Saccharomyces cerevisiae S288C: one gene and its partners. The protein of the gene in region 4 interacts with the protein of the main gene of each other region in a biochemical or structural test. Each region holds a gene or a part of one and is shown on either strand. Other genes may lie near its edges. The genes, in order: MTE1, MHF2, MHF1 and MPH1.

Region 1 (4,729 bases), on a different chromosome or scaffold from region 4:
CTTTCTGTTAAGAAGATATACAGTTACTATAAGAGGCATGGTTATGCAACTGAGGTAATGGCGGCTTCTTTCAGGAATTTAGATGAATTGAAGGCGTTAGCCGGTATTGATAATATGACTCTCCCACTGAACCTTCTAGAACAGTTATATGAATCAACAGATCCTATTGAAAACAAATTGAATTCTGAGAGTGCTAAGGAAGAAGGCGTCGAAAAAGTCTCTTTTATCAACGACGAGCCTCATTTCAGATATGTTTTAAACGAAGATCAAATGGCTACAGAAAAACTATCAGATGGTATCAGAAAATTCTCCGCAGACATTGAAGCACTGTACAAACTGGTTGAAGAAAAAATGTGATCATTAAGAGTAGAGGTACCTACTTATATATATAAATATATATATACCACTTTCCTTTTCGGTACTTAGTATTGAATTTGTTTGAGTATATGTGCATAGCATAGTGTACAGACTTATATATTCATTAAAATTCTGACGTATAATCAAATTCCGAGGGGTTCGTGAACAATTCTTCGTATCCCGCCCACTCTCCTTTTACCACTTTTGGATAGGTTCGCCATATCTTTCTTTCTGTCGGAACCGTCTCTGACTTTAGCTTCTTCGGTAATCGTGGCGTAATTACCTTGCGCAATATTATCATTATTCAACGCAACTTTTCCGGCTGTCTGCACTTTAGTGCTTGTGTTTGTTTCGTGTAGTTGTGGTGTCACTTCCTGAATCTTTTGGCTCCTTATGCTCGGTCTATTTGATTCATTTACCACATTAGTACTTAATATCCTCTTGGGCTTCTTGAAAGGCTTATTGACCTTCAGAGTAAGTTTGCTGATGTTGAATCCTCCCTTGGTGGCATTGTCCTCTGTCTGCTTGCGATTGGGAGTTGTGACTTTTATGTTCGAATGAACTTCTCTCGCAGTTGAGATATGATTCAAACTTGGTGCATTGTCTGAGATAAGAGGGCGTTGTTTTTGCACCGACAAATTTGAAGGATATGCCCTAACATGCGTTGCTGCCACTTGAATATCTCTATCGTACTCCTCAATAATATTTGAAATAATCACCAAAAACTGACTAAAAATCCTATGTTCTTCAATATCAAAACCTTCTGGATTTAGAATTGCTTTCAGCTCTTTTGAATTTATTTTAAATTCACTAGCTAACAAAACGTTATCCTTTTCCGTATAAAGCATGAATCTGTTGTTTAACTGAAAGTATTTCAGTCTACCATCGTGCCAGATTTTACGTTTCTTGTAAAGCTGATCAGTGTATTGGCATTCATACTCAACGATATGAGAGAGCATACTCTGTCATGCGATCCTTGGGGATTTCTTCTTTCTGGTGTTCGTGAAATGGGCTAGCTTTGGCGTGCAGTTCAAATTGAGATTTCACATCGCGAGAAGCTCTCAAACCGACTTTTTTCCCTAAATAGAGACCAATTATAAGAGCAAATAACATGCATATAAGATTGAGGTAAAGAGATATTATCGCTATTCCAACGAATATGAGCTCTTGGTGTTGAGATTTTTCCCTTGGTAGTTTCAGGAGGCTACCATATATTATTACATTGTTTTCTGAAATCTATAACATGGGTGTCTAATTATATAGAGAGTAGCAGGAAATCTTCGACGAGTAAGTCCAGCATGGAGTTACTCTCTTATTATTCCCACACCAAATCCTATTCCTATGCTAGCAAAGATAGCTAACATCTCTATACATCCTAATACAAAGCACAATGTCCTGAACCATTGTACGTCAATGTCCCATTCAAACCCTTTGAGGAGGCCGATTCTATGTTCATAATTCATTATCATTCTCATTAATCTATAATTTGAAACGCCATTATTTCCATTGATTGAAAAGAAAAAGAATAAGGGCGGAACAAAAAGGCAGATGCACAGTGTAGTTATAACCCTTGGAATACTATAAATCTCGGAGAAGCCATATATTCGGGAATCAAATGAACGTATGGAGGAGGAATCTATTCTTTGAATGGGCATTGTTTCCATTTGAAAACTTAATTGCTGATCTCGATCAATTTCTTGAGGAATTTTTTTATATTGATGTTGCTTAATACTATTGTCACCTTTTCCGACCCCAGAAGCTAAACCAGCTTCTATATTACTTTCGTATTCCTTTTCGTGTAGTTGGTTTGGACTACGCATGGTGTCCATTGCGATACCAAGAGGGACTTGAGGATTAGGAATTTTCTCTAAATCAATTTCGTTGGTATTCTTCTGCCTTTGATCTTGCATTCGAGTTCCAGAGGTTTCATTAGTTGGATTATACTGCCCATTAGAATGCACTGTATTTTTTAAAACAGCGGAAGAACTTCGCTGGTCATTAGCAAGGTCAGCTGCTTCAAAAGGCTTTAATATGTCAATTAATAGGGAATGGTTTCTTGGGGTTTTGAGGCTAGTGGACTTATTCGCTGGTATTCTGTTCCAGGCCTTTTTAGGAATTTGAAATTCATGTGGGATAAACGCTTTATCGGGAAAAGTACCATTTAGCGTGCTGTTAGGAACTCTGCTTTTTGCTACATCAACAGCCCCTTCCACAGGAGAAACAAGATCTACACCATACCGCATAGAAGGAAATGAGTATGTACCTTGTGTTTGCCTTGTAGACTTATTTCCGGAGACGGTAGCCCTTGGTCCCTGGTACGGCGCAGTTCCTTCGGGTGGTGGATAGAATAAAGAAGAAGGTCTGGTTCCCAGTTTCTCGAAGGATTTCATTGAAGATGATTCCATATGATCTCCTCTGGTCGTCCCAGCGTGCTTTTCTGCCGAACCCATATTCAACAGCACCGAAGTAGAGATGGTACCGCTGCTGCTGTGTCCATTTAGGTTAGTTTCAGCGGAAGACCCGTTTGAGGAATTTCTGTTCCTCTCATTTGAATTTGGCGGAGGTAAAGGGAATGCTGCTACTTCTGGATCTCGTCGTACTAAATCTAAAATTGAATCCTCTAGATCTCTATGTGATTCCTGATGGAAATTGTCATCTCTAGCATCTTCAAAGACTTGTTTACCATCAGTACTACTTGAATTTGTATCTCCTTTGAGGATTTCACTATACTTGCTATCATCAATATAAACATTGTATGACTTCACTTCTGATGATGGAAATGAATCAGATCCTTCGATGAACAGCGAACCAGATCTTATTCTTGCTCGCGGTTGATGGAATATTGGGTGGTCGTTCTCAGGTAAAGATGCGGATGAAGCCGTTGCCGATCCAGATGTGGATTTTGAATTTTCTGTCGTTATCGAAACATCTCTGGTTATTTTCGTCATTTCATAGGATGAAGAATGAAATTGTTGTAAAAAAAAAGGTAGTGAACGTATAAAGTTGGATGCTGTCTTCGAAAAAAAAAATAAGGTGTTAAATGAGTGGATGGTTTGGTATGCCTAAGCAAAAAGCTTTAGAAATCAAATTGAAAAATAAAATCGAGGGGAAGCTGGAGATAAAAGTAAGGCAAATGTCAGATAAATAGTTGCAAGGTGAGAGTGTACTATAATCTTTAGTAGTTGTTGTATGGTGATCCTTCGTCACCGTTAAGAAATGGAGGACAATTAAATGGAATACTCTGGGACGTTACAAGGAATAATAGTATGCTAGAATGAAAAAAATAATGGAGTCCTTCTACGTGTCAATGTACGTATGTGGCAATTAAGATAAAACTTTATAACTATACCTTAACTATTCTTGCATATATAATAATGCGAGATAAAAAATCACCAACTTTCTCCCTTTTAGAGAAATTAGCTTTTAGACTACCTTGGCTGGGTATTAGTTGTGAATATTTGGTAAATATGGTCAACTAGAAAACGAATGCGAACATCTAGCCAGGAATAAACAAACCCAGTAAACAAAACTTCTACTTAATACTTAAGAATAGAAAGCACAATGCCAAGACTTACTTGGGAGCCCATTCACTGTTGAATAGTGCTGGATAAAAGGTGTTGATATCGCCTCTTTGATTACAGTCGCGTCAGCTCTCCAAGCACACGCGATGGCTGGTTTTTCTCTGCATTTCCCGTTTAGGCAAAGCAGTGAAGAGGCTCATGAAGCCGCATTTCGTGTACTTCTGCTGGCGAAAAAAAAAAACTTGTTGCCGTGGCGCCATTTCGTTCCTTGCATTTTTCCATTGGCATGCATCGTGCATATGTGAGTTGAAGTTTCTTACTTACATATTGACCTACAGACCACAACGTGTCACTGCTAAGCTGAATATAGGGAAATTTTAGAAGTATGGCAGAAATGTTCTTGTGAATACTATTCCATGGTCTTCATTAGTTCATCGTAAAGCATGTCTTTGAGCATTTCTATGGGCACTTCTTCCTCCTCTTCCGGACGCATTATCTTGTTATCCAGTTTCCAAAATTCATCATCCAAATTAAGTGGAGGATATTCCGGCTCATCACTTGGGTCATGGTACATTGCCAGGTAAGGGTGTCTTAAAGCTTCTGCTGCGCTTATTCTTTTGTCAGGATTGAATTGAAGCATTTTGTCTAGTAAATCTATCATATCTGGATTCAGATCGGTCTTTGACCAGACGGTCTCCCATGGCAAGGGTGGCCTCATAGGTAAGTTTGCTATATACTCTTTAGCCCTCTTGGATTTGATCTGATTAAAGTCTTCGAAAGATGGAGTTCCCAAGACTTCTAGAATTAGCCATAATTGATGATGATAGTCTCTGCCTGGGAACAAAGGCTTC
Region 2 (3,983 bases), on a different chromosome or scaffold from region 4:
TGACAGTAATAGATTACTTGATCAGGTTTGGTAGTGAGAATTGTGTTCTTTGGTGTAGAGAAAATTTATACATCATCAAGACATTGAAGGAGTTCAGGCACGAGGACGATGAGGGCATAGATCAAGGTCAAATCGTTAGGGTCAAAGCAAAAGAATTGACTGCATTACTATCTGATGACGAAAGACTGAACGAGGAAAGGAACATGAATATCAAGGGAAGAAACAGGAAAGGAAGAAGAAGAAGGGGAACTGGGCGCAGTGATGAAAATGACGATGATTTGCAAAGAGCCATTAGTGCTAGCAGGTTGACGGCGGAAGAAGACGAAAGAAGAAGAAAACAGGACGAGGATTATGAAACAGCTTTGCAGTTGAGCAAAGAAGAAGAGGAGCTAAAAAGATTGCAAGATTTACAAAGAATGCAACAACAGCAAGGCCAACAACAATTGCAACAACCTATGTATTATGATATTTTTGGTAACCCAATCACTCCTGAGGAATACGCACAATTTCAATTGCAACAACAGCAACAACAGCAACAACAACAGTTGCAACAACAACCAATGTACTACGATGTATTCGGGAATCCTATAACACCCGAAGAACTAGCACAGTTTCAACAACAACAACAACTACAGGAACAACAGTACTTAGCTTCTATGCAACAGCAGCAACAGGCAATGTCCAACAATCCATTTGCCAAATCAGAACAGAGCTCAAGTTCACCAAAACGGAACCAACTAGTAGCAGCTTCTTCTCCACAGCAACTGCAACAACAAAAACAACAAGAGCCATTGATTCAAAACAGGACAGGCAATCAATCAATGACAGACAAGTATAGTAAACTAAACGAGCTACTAGCCACAGGAACAGGTATTGATACATTCGGAAATGTAGGGGAGGCTCGTATTCCTGCCCAACATACGAAGACAGGAACATTCATCAATTCTCAAGGAACAGGATATAGGCAAGTATCGGATGATCCAAACCACAATCCGTTTTTGAACAGTCAGTATACAGGTTTACCAAGCACTAGCGTCGTACCAACACAAACAGGCTATGGCTTTGGTAACCAGTCTCAACAGCAGTCTCAAAATAATGGCTCAAATAACCGGGGATATACTCTAATTGATTTATGAAGTGATTCTGTCATTCCAGTCCGCATTTCTAATCAGATGAGCATTTTCTCGCATCGCATAATATATATGGACTAAGTAATTTAATCATTTCACAGCGCGTTTTGATGCAAGCGTTTAGTATAAAATGAACTGTATATTTGTATATGTGAGCGCACGATCGCTCCAAAAACTACTTTAGTAAACTAACGTAGTTCAGGACGACTGAAAGAAAATATAGTGCTTTAAATTTATCAGACAACCAGGAATGTCTTATGTCTTTACATGGATGTAATGTAAGTTGAATACTTTTACATATCCATCAGAAGAAGCCCTACGATACGCTCTAAATCTTGATGCGATAACTCTAAGGGACTTTTATCGCCACGTTCTCCGTTAATGTCCTTGTGAGATTGCAAGGACCGCAGCACCGCCTCATCAATGAATATATCCAAATATTTCTGTATCATTGGTACTACTTCATCGGCAATTTTCATATCATTACCACCTTCATTTTGGCTGAGGATTTTTATTAACGCTTCTTTAGATAACATCACCACAATTACTGTGCTCTGTACTCATGTCCTTTCTAAGTGCAATAATGTAAATTCTAACACGCTTTTATGTATGATTGATTTTTGATATTTTGGCCCGAAAGATAATTCTGGTCTCCCGGAAACATGAAGATGCAGCAAAGTAAAAAATAATAGGTAAAAATAATAAAAATACATGTATCTTTTTGGTTGGTTAATTTATCTAAACAGTTTTATATATATATGTATATATATATATATATATACACAGTATTAATATTCTTTCCTTGAGATTACTCTCTATAAAAAAAAAAAAAAAAAAGCTTTTAAAAAAAAAAAAACTCAAAAAAAGAAAGAATATTCAAAGAAAGTTTCATCTTGTCAGTTGAAATGAATAGTTTATTGTGGAAATTATAACAATAAAAGTTAGCTAAAAGCGAAAGTGTCGATGAAACTGGGCAAGTGCACTTGAGCTCTTGATATGGACGGTAGTATTGGTTACAACAATGACTGGTAAAAGAATGAAGTGGTTTGAGATAATTTTAGAGAAACAAAAAGAAATAACAAAGTGATAGTAATAAAAACGGTGCGCAAATGAGGATAAAAAAATCAGCACAGAAACTAGAGAAAACGGATAAAAAAATAAAAAAGCAGAGACAAAAATTAAATTACGACTGATTCTTGTTCAAAATCAATAGTAAAAGTATGGTTACAAAGTAATGTAATTCACAATGGAGATTTGAAAAAAGATAAAAATAATCGACGATTAGATCACAAAAAAAGCGTATCTCACCACAGTAGTTATTTTTTCTTAGATATTCTTTAATACTGGGGTTGTGACTGACCAGGTGGCATCGCCATGAAATGTTCCTGCTGTGGAGGATACCCCTGCTGCGATGGCATTTGCGGTGGAGGATACGCCTGTTGTTGCTGATGCGAAGGAGGAACCATGAATTGTGGATGATGTTGCTGCGGAGGAATAGCAAATTGTTGCTGAGATGGTAATTGTTGCTGAGGTATCGCTTGTTGATGATAGCTCTGTTGCTCTATCGGGAATGGGACAGGTACCGTTTCGTCATTTTCAGCCACATACAATGACTTATCGATAGTGGCCGGAATAGCCGCAATTTCAGTGCCCAGTTCTTGTTCGATTTTATAAAGGTTAAACCGATCATTCCAGTTAATCAAATTGATTGCTAAACCCAAGTGGCCAAACCTACCGGATCTACCAATACGATGTAAATATGTTTCTGCCGTTTTGGGGAAATCGAAATTGATAACGACATTAACGGCTTGAATATCGATACCACGGGTCAATAAATCGGAGCAGACCAATGTACGAACCTTACCTTGACGAAATTCGTGGAAAACTTTATTTCTTTCTTGTTGCTTCATTCTTGCATGAGAGTAATAACAGGAATAGCCTAAATCAGTGATTTTCTTGGCTAGTAATTCGACACGGTTAGTAGAATTACAAAAAATAATGGCTTGATTAATTTGAAGCTTAGAGAATAAAGTATTTAAACAATGTAGCTTTTGTCTTTCTTCAACAAAGGCGTAGTATTGAGTAATACCCTTTAGAGTCAATTCTTCCATCAAATTAATTTCATAAGGCTTATGCAGATGTTTAACCATGAATTCCTTAACCGTTAGTGGGAAAGTAGCGCTAAATAATAAAGATTGGTGAGTTGGAGGTAAGAAGGATAAGATTTGTTCAATTATTGTCTTGAAGTCACGAGATAACATTTTATCGGCTTCGTCCATGATGAATAATGAACAATCAGACAGATCTGCTACTTTTCTCGAAGCTAAATCCAACACTCTACCAGGAGTACCAACCAAAATATGGACTGTTTCATTTAATCTTAGAATATCGTCTCTCAAATTGGTACCACCAGTGGTCACCATACATGAAATACCACAGTGTTTTCCCAATGTACGGACGACTTGGGAAGTTTGCAGAGCTAACTCTCTTGTGGGAACCATGATCAAAGCCTGAATTTTATTCAACTTTGGTTTGACTTTCTCTAACGTAGGAATAACAAATGCGGCTGTCTTACCTGTACCATTCTTTGCTCTGGCCAATATGTCTCTACCAGTTATTGCTACCGGAATAGCCTCTTCTTGAATAGGGGATGGTTTTTCAAAACCGGCTTCAAAAATACCCATTAACAGCTCTCTTTTCAAATAAAAATCTTCAAAAGTATTACCCTTTGTATTTAAGACATCATCTGTCTGTGGTCTGGTATCCTTCTTGGGAATATTCAATGCAGTTTTCCAGTCCCGATCGAGATCCGTATTACTGTTATTATTAGTGTTGAAGTTATTATTGATGGAA
Region 3 (2,602 bases), on a different chromosome or scaffold from region 4:
AAGTCTTCATTGACTTCACTAAGGAAAAGGACATTGTCGGTGCTGTTCTAAAGGCCACTGACGGTGGTGCTCACGGTGTCATCAACGTTTCCGTTTCCGAAGCCGCTATTGAAGCTTCTACCAGATACGTTAGAGCTAACGGTACCACCGTTTTGGTCGGTATGCCAGCTGGTGCCAAGTGTTGTTCTGATGTCTTCAACCAAGTCGTCAAGTCCATCTCTATTGTTGGTTCTTACGTCGGTAACAGAGCTGACACCAGAGAAGCTTTGGACTTCTTCGCCAGAGGTTTGGTCAAGTCTCCAATCAAGGTTGTCGGCTTGTCTACCTTGCCAGAAATTTACGAAAAGATGGAAAAGGGTCAAATCGTTGGTAGATACGTTGTTGACACTTCTAAATAAGCGAATTTCTTATGATTTATGATTTTTATTATTAAATAAGTTATAAAAAAAATAAGTGTATACAAATTTTAAAGTGACTCTTAGGTTTTAAAACGAAAATTCTTATTCTTGAGTAACTCTTTCCTGTAGGTCAGGTTGCTTTCTCAGGTATAGCATGAGGTCGCTCTTATTGACCACACCTCTACCGGCATGCCGAGCAAATGCCTGCAAATCGCTCCCCATTTCACCCAATTGTAGATATGCTAACTCCAGCAATGAGTTGATGAATCTCGGTGTGTATTTTATGTCCTCAGAGGACAACACCTGTTGTAATCGTTCTTCCACACGGATCCACAGCCTAGCCTTCAGTTGGGCTCTATCTTCATCGTCATTCATTGCATCTACTAGCCCCTTACCTGAGCTTCAAGACGTTATATCGCTTTTATGTATCATGATCTTATCTTGAGATATGAATACATAAATATATTTACTCAAGTGTATACGTGCATGCTTTTTTTACGGCAGCATTTTTTTTTCAACTCTGATCGCCCCTTTACTGCTCCCTCCGCCCAAATTCCATTGCAGTTCAAATGTATACTGAAAAAAACCCCATTGCTATTGTTAAACAGTGAACTCTCTTTTTGCCCAATAATAACATTATAACAAGTAACTACCAGCACCATAACACCGTGTCCTATCCTGGTATTAATTACTACTTGAAGAACGACTACATCGCTTTTTGCAACTACAATTAGAACGCTCCGCCCCTTCCTTTTGACGTCGTATAAGTGTAGTTGGATTGCAATTGCATAGATACAGGAATTAGTTCAAGCCATTCCTAACGAGGAAACGATACATTCTAGCAAATCTACGCTTTTCTGACTTTAGAAGAGCAAGCCAATAAAAAGCCGGAGAAAATAGAAAGGTAATAATGAATCAGTTGACAGTGAGTTATGGCCTAATTTCCCCAGATTACTGCACTTCCCAAGATGCGCACATCTTACCGATAACAAAGATTCTGTACCCGGATATACCTGGTAAAAACTATTTTCTTACTTCAGGAAGGGATGGTTCCATAATTTTGCACAAGAACACACAGCTCTCGAACGAGCCTGAGACTGCTGCAACTACCATAAAAAACGATGCGATAAGAATGCAAGTTCATAGCGATTGGGCAAGCGATCTAATACATGTTAATATGAAAAATTCAGACCCATCTGCAGGGGACACATTCATATCAGTAAGTCACGATTTTTCGATAGTATTAATTAGTGTGAATGCGCAGTTAACTACCTGGGATAAGAAAATAATCGGTGACCACGACGATTATATCAAGTGCATAGTGCCCATACATTATGAAATGTCAAATGACTATGAATTGGAAGAACAAGAGGGTGGTCCTGATAATGTACACGATGGAATAAATAATGGCATTGTTGTTGATGAACAGAACAACTTTCTTTTTGTGACAGGTGGTCTAGATAGAAAAATCAAACTTTGGTGCCTGAGCAGCGGGCCAGAAAAAATGGCTACGCTACTACACACATTTGATAATGCACAATCAAACGACACAGGCTCAATATACTCCATGAGTCCCATCATCCCAAAATACAGTTTTGATGACAATCAAACGTCTCGTCCCTTTGATTTTGTTGCCGGAGACTGTAATGGTGATTTGATTTTTTATTCGTGTAAATATCGTAAGGAGGTGATAAGAATTCAAAACGCCCACAGAACAAATATAAAAGTAGTAAGAACTCTTGATGACTCCACACGACTAATCAGTACCAGCTCAGATGGTGTAATAAATGTATGGGACTTGAATTGTAGGCATGATCAGACTACTGGTGCCCTTCAGCTTCCCAAAAAAATTGGATCTTGGTCCTGGGATTCTTCCATATGGTGTGTCCAAGGAACGAGCCTTGATAAGTTGTATTTTGGTGACTCTCAGGGCAATGTTATGAGAGCAAACTTATCCAGTTATGAAGATGCTAAACTTACAAGAATTTTCAAGCCTGATCATCACCACCATCATCATCATCACCATGAACACGAAGAGCAAAATATATCAACTACAGATGCGAAAGTAAAAAAATATGGTGGTATCCTTGATATTGCCCTTTTACCTAATGAAAAATTGTTGTTTTCTTTTTGTACTGACTCAAATCTAAACGTGCTCGATTTAACTAATAACCATTTCAGTGTCAACGAAGGTGGGTTCGCAC
Region 4 (6,962 bases):
GTAGATCTAATATTTTTTGTAGAGTCTTTGGCACTGTTGAAGTGTTTTTTTTGGAAGGTTCTATTCTTGTTATTGTAAGGACTCCTATAATAATTGTTCTTATTATATCCGAAATTTTGATTTGGAGACTGATTTGGAGGGTACGGTGGGTAATAAGGGAAGGTATCGGGATTGGGGTAGGCCATTAAGGGATAATTCCATTGCCATTGTTGGAAATACTGGTTTTGCGAGTTGTAATGCCTATTAAATCCTGGAATGTTAGTTCTTTTTCTGGAGACAGCAATTTTTTTGCCTTTAAGTTCTCCTCCATTTAATTGCAGGGCTTTTTCTCTGTATGCCGGACTTTCAAATTCAATATAGCCGTAGCCTTTTGGTGTTCCCGTATTCCTATCATAAAGAAGTGTTATTCTTTTTATCTGGCCACAGTCTTTGAAATGATCTTCTATTTGCTCTGGGGTGACATCCGGAGTGATGTTACCGACAAAGATAGAACGCGAGTCAGCTTCAAGTTGATGAGCGTGTTTTTCCTCCTTGCTTAGCTTTTGCGACACCTGTGGAGTGCCCTCGATAGATAGTTTACCCACAAGTTCATCCAGCTCGAGCTCTTGCTTGTCGTTCTTTTTATTGTTCGAAATTTCAGTCTTTAAGGTTGCCTTAGCATCCACTTTCTCTTCCTGGGACATAACAGCAATTGCAAATGATGACACTATGTGACAGCAGATATATGTTTATGTTAATAGGCCTGGTTGGAGAGCGAAAGTTGAGATTACTTACTTAATCAAAATTAAATTTGAAATTTGCTGCATTTTAAGGTTACTTTTCGGAGTGTAGGAAATTGTTGCGGTTTTTTTTCACCTAACGAATGATTGATAATCTTTTTCATATCCTCCAAGAAACAAGCTGTTTATTATGGTGATTGCCACAAATTGAAGCGCTATGCTTAGTGCTTCATGACAGAAAGGTTTTGCATTGGTAGGCGTGGAAGATTACAGATTGTACTCGTCGTTGGCTCAATTTTTATATTTTGTTGCTTCAAAAACAGTGCCGTATCCTTAATGAATGAAAAATTCTAAAGAAAATAAGTTGATACTAAAAATATAATGTCCTTGAAGTATTTATGCGATATATAGAAAAATCTATAAATACTTAAATATTACAGCAGCGTTATTTTTGTATAGACGCCGACGTATAAGAGTCTCCTATCAAAAATCAGAATCTGAGCCCAGTATGTCATCTAATTCTGCGTTCGATAAGGTAAAAGATTGGGATGAATCATGGTTGACACTGTTGTTATCGACTTGACTTTTATCGTTAACTTTTACAAATTTTTTTTCGTCTCGTAACATGCCTCTCGCCAAACATTTAGTATAGTTCATATCAATTGTCCTCTTCTTATTATCATTACTCTCGTCGTTAAATAACGTAATGATTTTTGAAACTTTGTGACAATGCGGAACTTTTACCCCTTTGGTGTATTGTACAAAATTGGGCTCCACATCGAAGGAAACACCTTCTGGGATATAGCGGTTTCTGAAAAAATTCCAATCGTCCAAACTCAATACCATGTTATTCTTGTCAACAGTACAGCTCTTTTCTTTTTCAAGGTTGTGTTGATTTCCTCGGATGTCTTTCACATTTTTCTCGATTTTAGTTGGAAGACCACAATCATTCACAAATAAAGCCATATTAGGGCGTTCAAAATTATGAAGTGGCTTGAGTGTGGTAAGACTTTCGCCAGTGCGAATAATGGCAGTTTCCAAATCTTTTTGGCATCCATTCTGCCCTTCCGCAATGAAAACATTATTATCATCACTGACTTCTTCATCTTCAGTTTCTAATGAGGAGGAAGCTTCCTCGGTTGAATCATTCTCCAGATTATCCAAAGCTTTAAAAATCTTCCGCTTCTTACTTGGGTTTTCATTACTCGTTACTAGTTGTTTCCCGCCACTTTCATTCACCAAGAACTTATTAATTAAAGTGCTTGCACTAACAATACTGGTCTCAACATTATCAGGCATAAAGAACTTCTTCGGTTTTTTATTTTCCTGAACTCTCTTCTTCTTTGTTATGGCTTTTTTTGGCTTCACCTTTTTGCCCATCATACACTGAGTCGCATAACGAATAACTTCGTCAACATCTTCCATTTCATTAATTATTTCGTTTTCATCATTAATCGTGATCAATGTCTCGTGACATTCCGGAATAATGTCTTCAGGGATTATCCGATCTGATTTTTTATAGTCAATGCATTGCTTGGATATAAGCGCTTGCAGGGTTGAATAGTCTTCCATAGCACGCTCGAATTTGTATGATTCATTACTGCTAAACAGTAGTACTATCTTACCATCTCGTTTTCTGCCTGTTCTACCCATACGCTGAATATTTTTGATTGGACTACTTGTAGTATCATAACAGATTATTAAATCAACTTCTCCGATATCCAAACCTTCTTCTCCAATTGATGTACAAACGAGAACATTATATTCACCCTTTTTGAAATTATGGATAACCTCTTTTTGCATTTTTTGGTTCATTCCGCTAATCTGAGCCTCTTCAGAGCTCCCCGTTCGTCTGGCACTTCTTTCAAGTTTATCATTCGCCGCTCTCTTAGTTCGTTCAGCTTCCAAAAATTTCTCTTGCTCTTGCCTATGCAATCTCTCTACCTTCTTCCTTCCCTTTGGCGCATGTTTTCTTGTGTATTTGACCTCATCAAAACCTTCTTTTGCACGAGCTTGTCCAATAAAAATATGAGGCCTGATTTGATCGTCAGCTACCGAGTCTATGAACTTCACAATTTCAAGTGCGCTTTCTCTTAATTCTGTAAAAATAATAACCCTCGAGTCGGAACCCCTTTTCTGAAAAAAGTCCATTAGTTCATCTCTAACACATTGTAACTTCCCATGACCGACAAACTTTGGATCACTTAAATAATTTTCGCATTGATTTTTGATGTTTTTCAAAATCGGATGGTAATAAAACTCAGCTGCAATTTTATTAGTAGATTTTTTAAGATTATATTTCGTAGTGAATTCTGTACATTTATTCTGGAAGTAATTGAAAAATGTCCTTATTCCATAAATTTTTAATCTCTTTAGCATTTGACCCACATTGTTCAATAACTGTAAAATAAAGAAGTTCCTCCACTTAATTCCTTCAGGTATAGTAGGGTTAGCAATAATTTTTTGGCTTTGTTGCATGGCTTTGAAGGCGTTTATTTGTGAAGGGTCACATTCCTCATATATACCGAGTTCAATTGCCTGTTGAAGCACTGGTTTGACGGCCATACCTAATTGTTCGATTATGTCTTCAATTTCCAACAAAAGGGGCACTTCAATTTTTTCCTTTTTTCTTTTCTTCATATATTTCACGATATCCATGCTTTCTTCAGTCCTAATTTCAATCTTGGAAATATCTAAGTTATTAACCACTTCTTGGACACCTTCCAGGTCAGAGGCTGGTGTAGCGGTCAATGCTAATAATCTGTATGATGAATTGAACCTATCTATGAATTTTACCACATTTGTATACGCAGAGGAGCCAGTAGCTCTGTGAGCTTCATCGATGACAAGACATACAATATCCTTAGGATCCAATACACCCCTCTTCAAGTCATTCTCCACTACTTGCGGTGTGGCAAAGAAAACTCTCTTATTGGCCCAAATTTCTTCTCTATTTTTCCTGCTTTTATCGAGTAATATAGCAGTTTGATCCGAAGGTATTCCTGTTATACCTAAGCATGCCTTAATTTGCTGGGCTACCAAAGGTCTTGTTGGAGCAGTAAAGATTATTTTGGCTTTTTTGGTCCAACGAAAATAATTTAACATTACTGTACTGGCAATGAACGTTTTACCCATACCCGTTGGGATGGCGCATAACGTATTTTGAAACAGTGATTTGTGAACAATTGTATACTGATAATCCCTTACCTCGTAATTTGTAGGGTACACGTAGAACGACAAAGCATCGTAATCAAGCTCATGATGAGTGGGTCCAAAACTGACATCTCTTTGAATTTCTTCGTACACAGTTTTCTGCCCAGGTAAAACGTTATCATGAAGGTCTTTTTGAACTGGTACAGCACGTCTCGTTATAGTTTCCTTCACAGATTTATTGATAGCCTTTTCATACAGTTTATCCAGCTCGTCATCTTCGAAATCACTAAAGTAATCATCTGCACTAGCCATCAGAGAGAAAAAAGGACACTAAAATAAAACAGAACCGGAATGTGTTGAATAAAACTGAAGTGAGCTACTATATCTTGAATCACAATATCTTAGCTCCGTGATAGAGCATAGGGCACCTCTATTGATCTCTTCGTGATGCCCGGTTATATACACACGTAACCCCGTAAAAGCCGTTACCCGGTTTATGTCTTTCTGTGAGCACAGTAAGCTAGGAAGGTCGATGGAGAAGAAGACTCCTGTCTCATATGGAACAACCTTGCAAATTGAGTGCAATTATCCCCTTTGGAGTTTGAATTTTGTGTTAGTACATTCTCCTTTTTTAACTTGTCTTTTCTACCACATGCACAATGAAAGCAATCTTGTTTTACCAGGCGCGAAGCAAAAGAAAAGGAGAAATATTGAGTATATTTTAATTTAAGCTTTCTGATTTAGAAAGTATCATGTTTTGTTGGTGATCTAACAGGAAATCTATTTTGACCGATTATACAATGCCATCGGAAGTTACGCCAAAAGTACCTGAGAGGCCCTCAAGGAGGAAGACATCTGAGCTGTTTCCGTTATCCGGCTCTGAATCAGGAGATATTAAAGCTAATAGCGAGCCACCAACACCAGCAGGAACGCCCAATGTACCAACACGTAGACCCATACTTAAAGCAAAGACGATGACTTCGTTTGAGAGTGGTATGGATCAAGAGAGTTTGCCCAAGGTACCATTGCAGAGGCCAGTTAGACGCTCCACTACTGAAGAACTAAATAATGTAATGAATAACACCAGTAAGGAGTTAGAGGAGATTGAAAGTTTGATTTCAAAGCACAATATACACAATGTTTCCAGGAAAAAAAGTCCAACTTCTGTGGAAGAGGGAAAGGTGGCCGCCATTCATCAAAACGGGCAAAGAAGTGCATCAGATAACAAAACTTCTACAAATCCCTCCCCACTCGAAAAAAATGAGCACGAGGGTGCTGAGGGCAATGAGTCTGCTATTTCACCTTCTAATTTAGTTAACAAGTCTAATAATGAAGTGACAGAGCATAGTGACTCCGAAGACCTTACTGAAAAGCAAAAGGTACATGCTGCCCTAGATAATGAGGCAGGGGATAGAAGCCATTTTGAAGAAAAGCTCATTCCTGGAGATATGAAAGTACAGGTAGATGTTAGTAAGGACGTAGAAGAAGGCAGCCTCAATGCTCTGCCTCCATCTGGAATCACAGAATCAGACGACAAAGCTGAAAAGTTCACTAAACATCCTGAATCTAGTTTAGAAGAGCTACAGAAGCATCAAGAACAACAGGAAGAAAAAATTTTCCAAAATCCAACCGATGAAGAAAGTACTACCTCTTTGAATGAGAAACAAGAAGGCAAGGACAACATGGAAGTGAATTCTCAGCCGCAAGGACCTTCTGATACTGAAACAGTTATAGCAGCAACTAGCTCAAACGTTCCTTCACAAATTGCAAGTGAAGAGGAAAATGACGTTCCAGTGATTCCAAGGAGTAGGCCTAAGAAGGATTTTGAAGCACACGTACAAAAAGAGGAGTTGCCTAACACACAAGAGAAGCGAGTATCAGAAGAGTGTGATTCGACCCTAATTAGTACCGAAGAGGAAAGTAAAATCCCAAAAATTCCCTCTGAAAGACCAAAGAGACGTGCCCCACCTCCGGTTCCCAAAAAACCTTCTTCAAGAATTGCGGCCTTTCAAGAAATGTTACAAAAACAACAGCAACAAGATCTGCATAATAATGGTAATTCTTCAGCTACTACCGCTTCAGCAGATATTGCTAAAAAACACACAGATTCTTCTATTACTAGCGATACCACGAAGGCAGATTTTACGAGCAAATTGAATGGACTGTTTGCGCTACCTGGTATGGTGAACCCTGGACAGCTTCCACCTTCCTTGGAGAAGAAGTTGTCCTCCCCGGATACTGAATCTAAGCTAGGACCCCAGGACCAATCACAGGCAAAAACGGGACCTCTGGGCGGAACTAGAAGAGGTAGAGGACCTCGTGGGCGTAAATTACCTTCTAAAGTAGCTAGCGTAGAGAAGATTGAAGAAGATGACAACACTAATAAAATAGAAATATTTAACAATTGGAATGTTTCCTCTTCCTTCTCTAAGGAAAAAGTCTTAATAGATACTACTCCTGGTGAGCAAGCAGAAAGGGCCTTGGATGAAAAGTCAAAGAGCATTCCCGAGGAACAACGAGAACAATCTCCAAATAAGATGGAGGCTGCTCTTTGTCCTTTTGAGCTGGACGAAAAGGAAAAGTTACCTGCTAATGCTGAGTCGGATCCTCTTTCTCAGTTGCCACAGACGAACGCCGTAGGTAATAGAAAAGCCATAAGTGAGGAATCTCTGTCCCCATCGGAGGCCATCGCCAACAGAGATCAAAACGATACGACAGAAATACAGGAACAGCAGATGGAGGACCAAATGGAGGTTGATATGGAAAGAGAACTCTCAGGTGGCTACGAAGACGTTGATTCTGCCTTACATTCAGAAGAAGCGTCTTTTCACTCCCTTTAGAATCTTATAAATAATATGTATGAATAAACTCTATAGTATGTATCAAGAGAGAAATATGTGAATGACGAGCAAACTAGAGGTGTTATTAATAATAATGGCATAAAAACTAGATTTTATTCTATATATATATATATATATTTCTTCGACTTTTTTTTTTTTTACCCGCACACCCTGAATTTTGTGCTATTTTGAAGCAGAGCGTACTGAACAAATTGGCAGATTTACAAGAGGAATAACAGAGTTATGCTAA

Evidence for each region.
Region 1: the proteins of MPH1 (region 4) and MTE1 form a complex in vitro, tested with the Saccharomyces cerevisiae proteins (one study listed by BioGRID).
Region 2: the proteins of MPH1 (region 4) and MHF2 form a complex in vitro, tested with the Saccharomyces cerevisiae proteins (2 studies listed by BioGRID).
Region 3: the proteins of MPH1 (region 4) and MHF1 form a complex in vitro, tested with the Saccharomyces cerevisiae proteins (2 studies listed by BioGRID).

What each region holds. Positions count from the first base shown.
Region 1 is NC_001139.9:576,063-580,791, reverse strand, and holds MTE1 (Mte1p), read right to left. Parts: upstream 1,317-4,729; coding exon 501-1,316; downstream 1-500. Other genes in the region: sedoheptulose-7-phosphate:D-glyceraldehyde-3-phosphate transaldolase NQM1, read left to right, coding at 1-357; BUD9 (Bud9p), read right to left, coding at 1,662-3,305; mitogen-activated serine/threonine-protein kinase KSS1, read right to left, coding at 4,288-4,729.
Region 2 is NC_001136.10:167,943-171,925, forward strand, and holds MHF2 (Mhf2p), read right to left. Parts: upstream 1,667-3,983; coding exon 1,424-1,666; downstream 1-1,423. Other genes in the region: ENT1 (epsin), read left to right, coding at 1-1,136; DExD/H-box ATP-dependent RNA helicase DHH1, read right to left, coding at 2,468-3,983. UniProt on the Saccharomyces cerevisiae protein: DNA-binding component of a FANCM-MHF complex involved in DNA damage repair and genome maintenance. FANCM-MHF promotes gene conversion at blocked replication forks, probably by reversal of the stalled fork.
Region 3 is NC_001147.6:157,344-159,945, reverse strand, and holds MHF1 (Mhf1p), read right to left. Parts: upstream 774-2,602; coding exon 501-773; downstream 1-500. Other genes in the region: alcohol dehydrogenase ADH1, read left to right, coding at 1-398; DUF1 (Duf1p), read left to right, coding at 1,309-2,602. UniProt on the Saccharomyces cerevisiae protein: dsDNA-binding component of a FANCM-MHF complex involved in DNA damage repair and genome maintenance. FANCM-MHF promotes gene conversion at blocked replication forks, probably by reversal of the stalled fork.
Region 4 is NC_001141.2:356,213-363,174, forward strand, and holds MPH1 (3'-5' DNA helicase), read right to left. Parts: upstream 4,185-6,962; coding exon 1,203-4,184; downstream 1-1,202. Other genes in the region: SGN1 (Sgn1p), read right to left, coding at 1-683; AIM21 (Aim21p), read left to right, coding at 4,673-6,712. UniProt on the Saccharomyces cerevisiae protein: ATP-dependent DNA helicase involved in DNA damage repair by homologous recombination and in genome maintenance. Capable of unwinding D-loops. Plays a role in limiting crossover recombinants during mitotic DNA double-strand break (DSB) repair.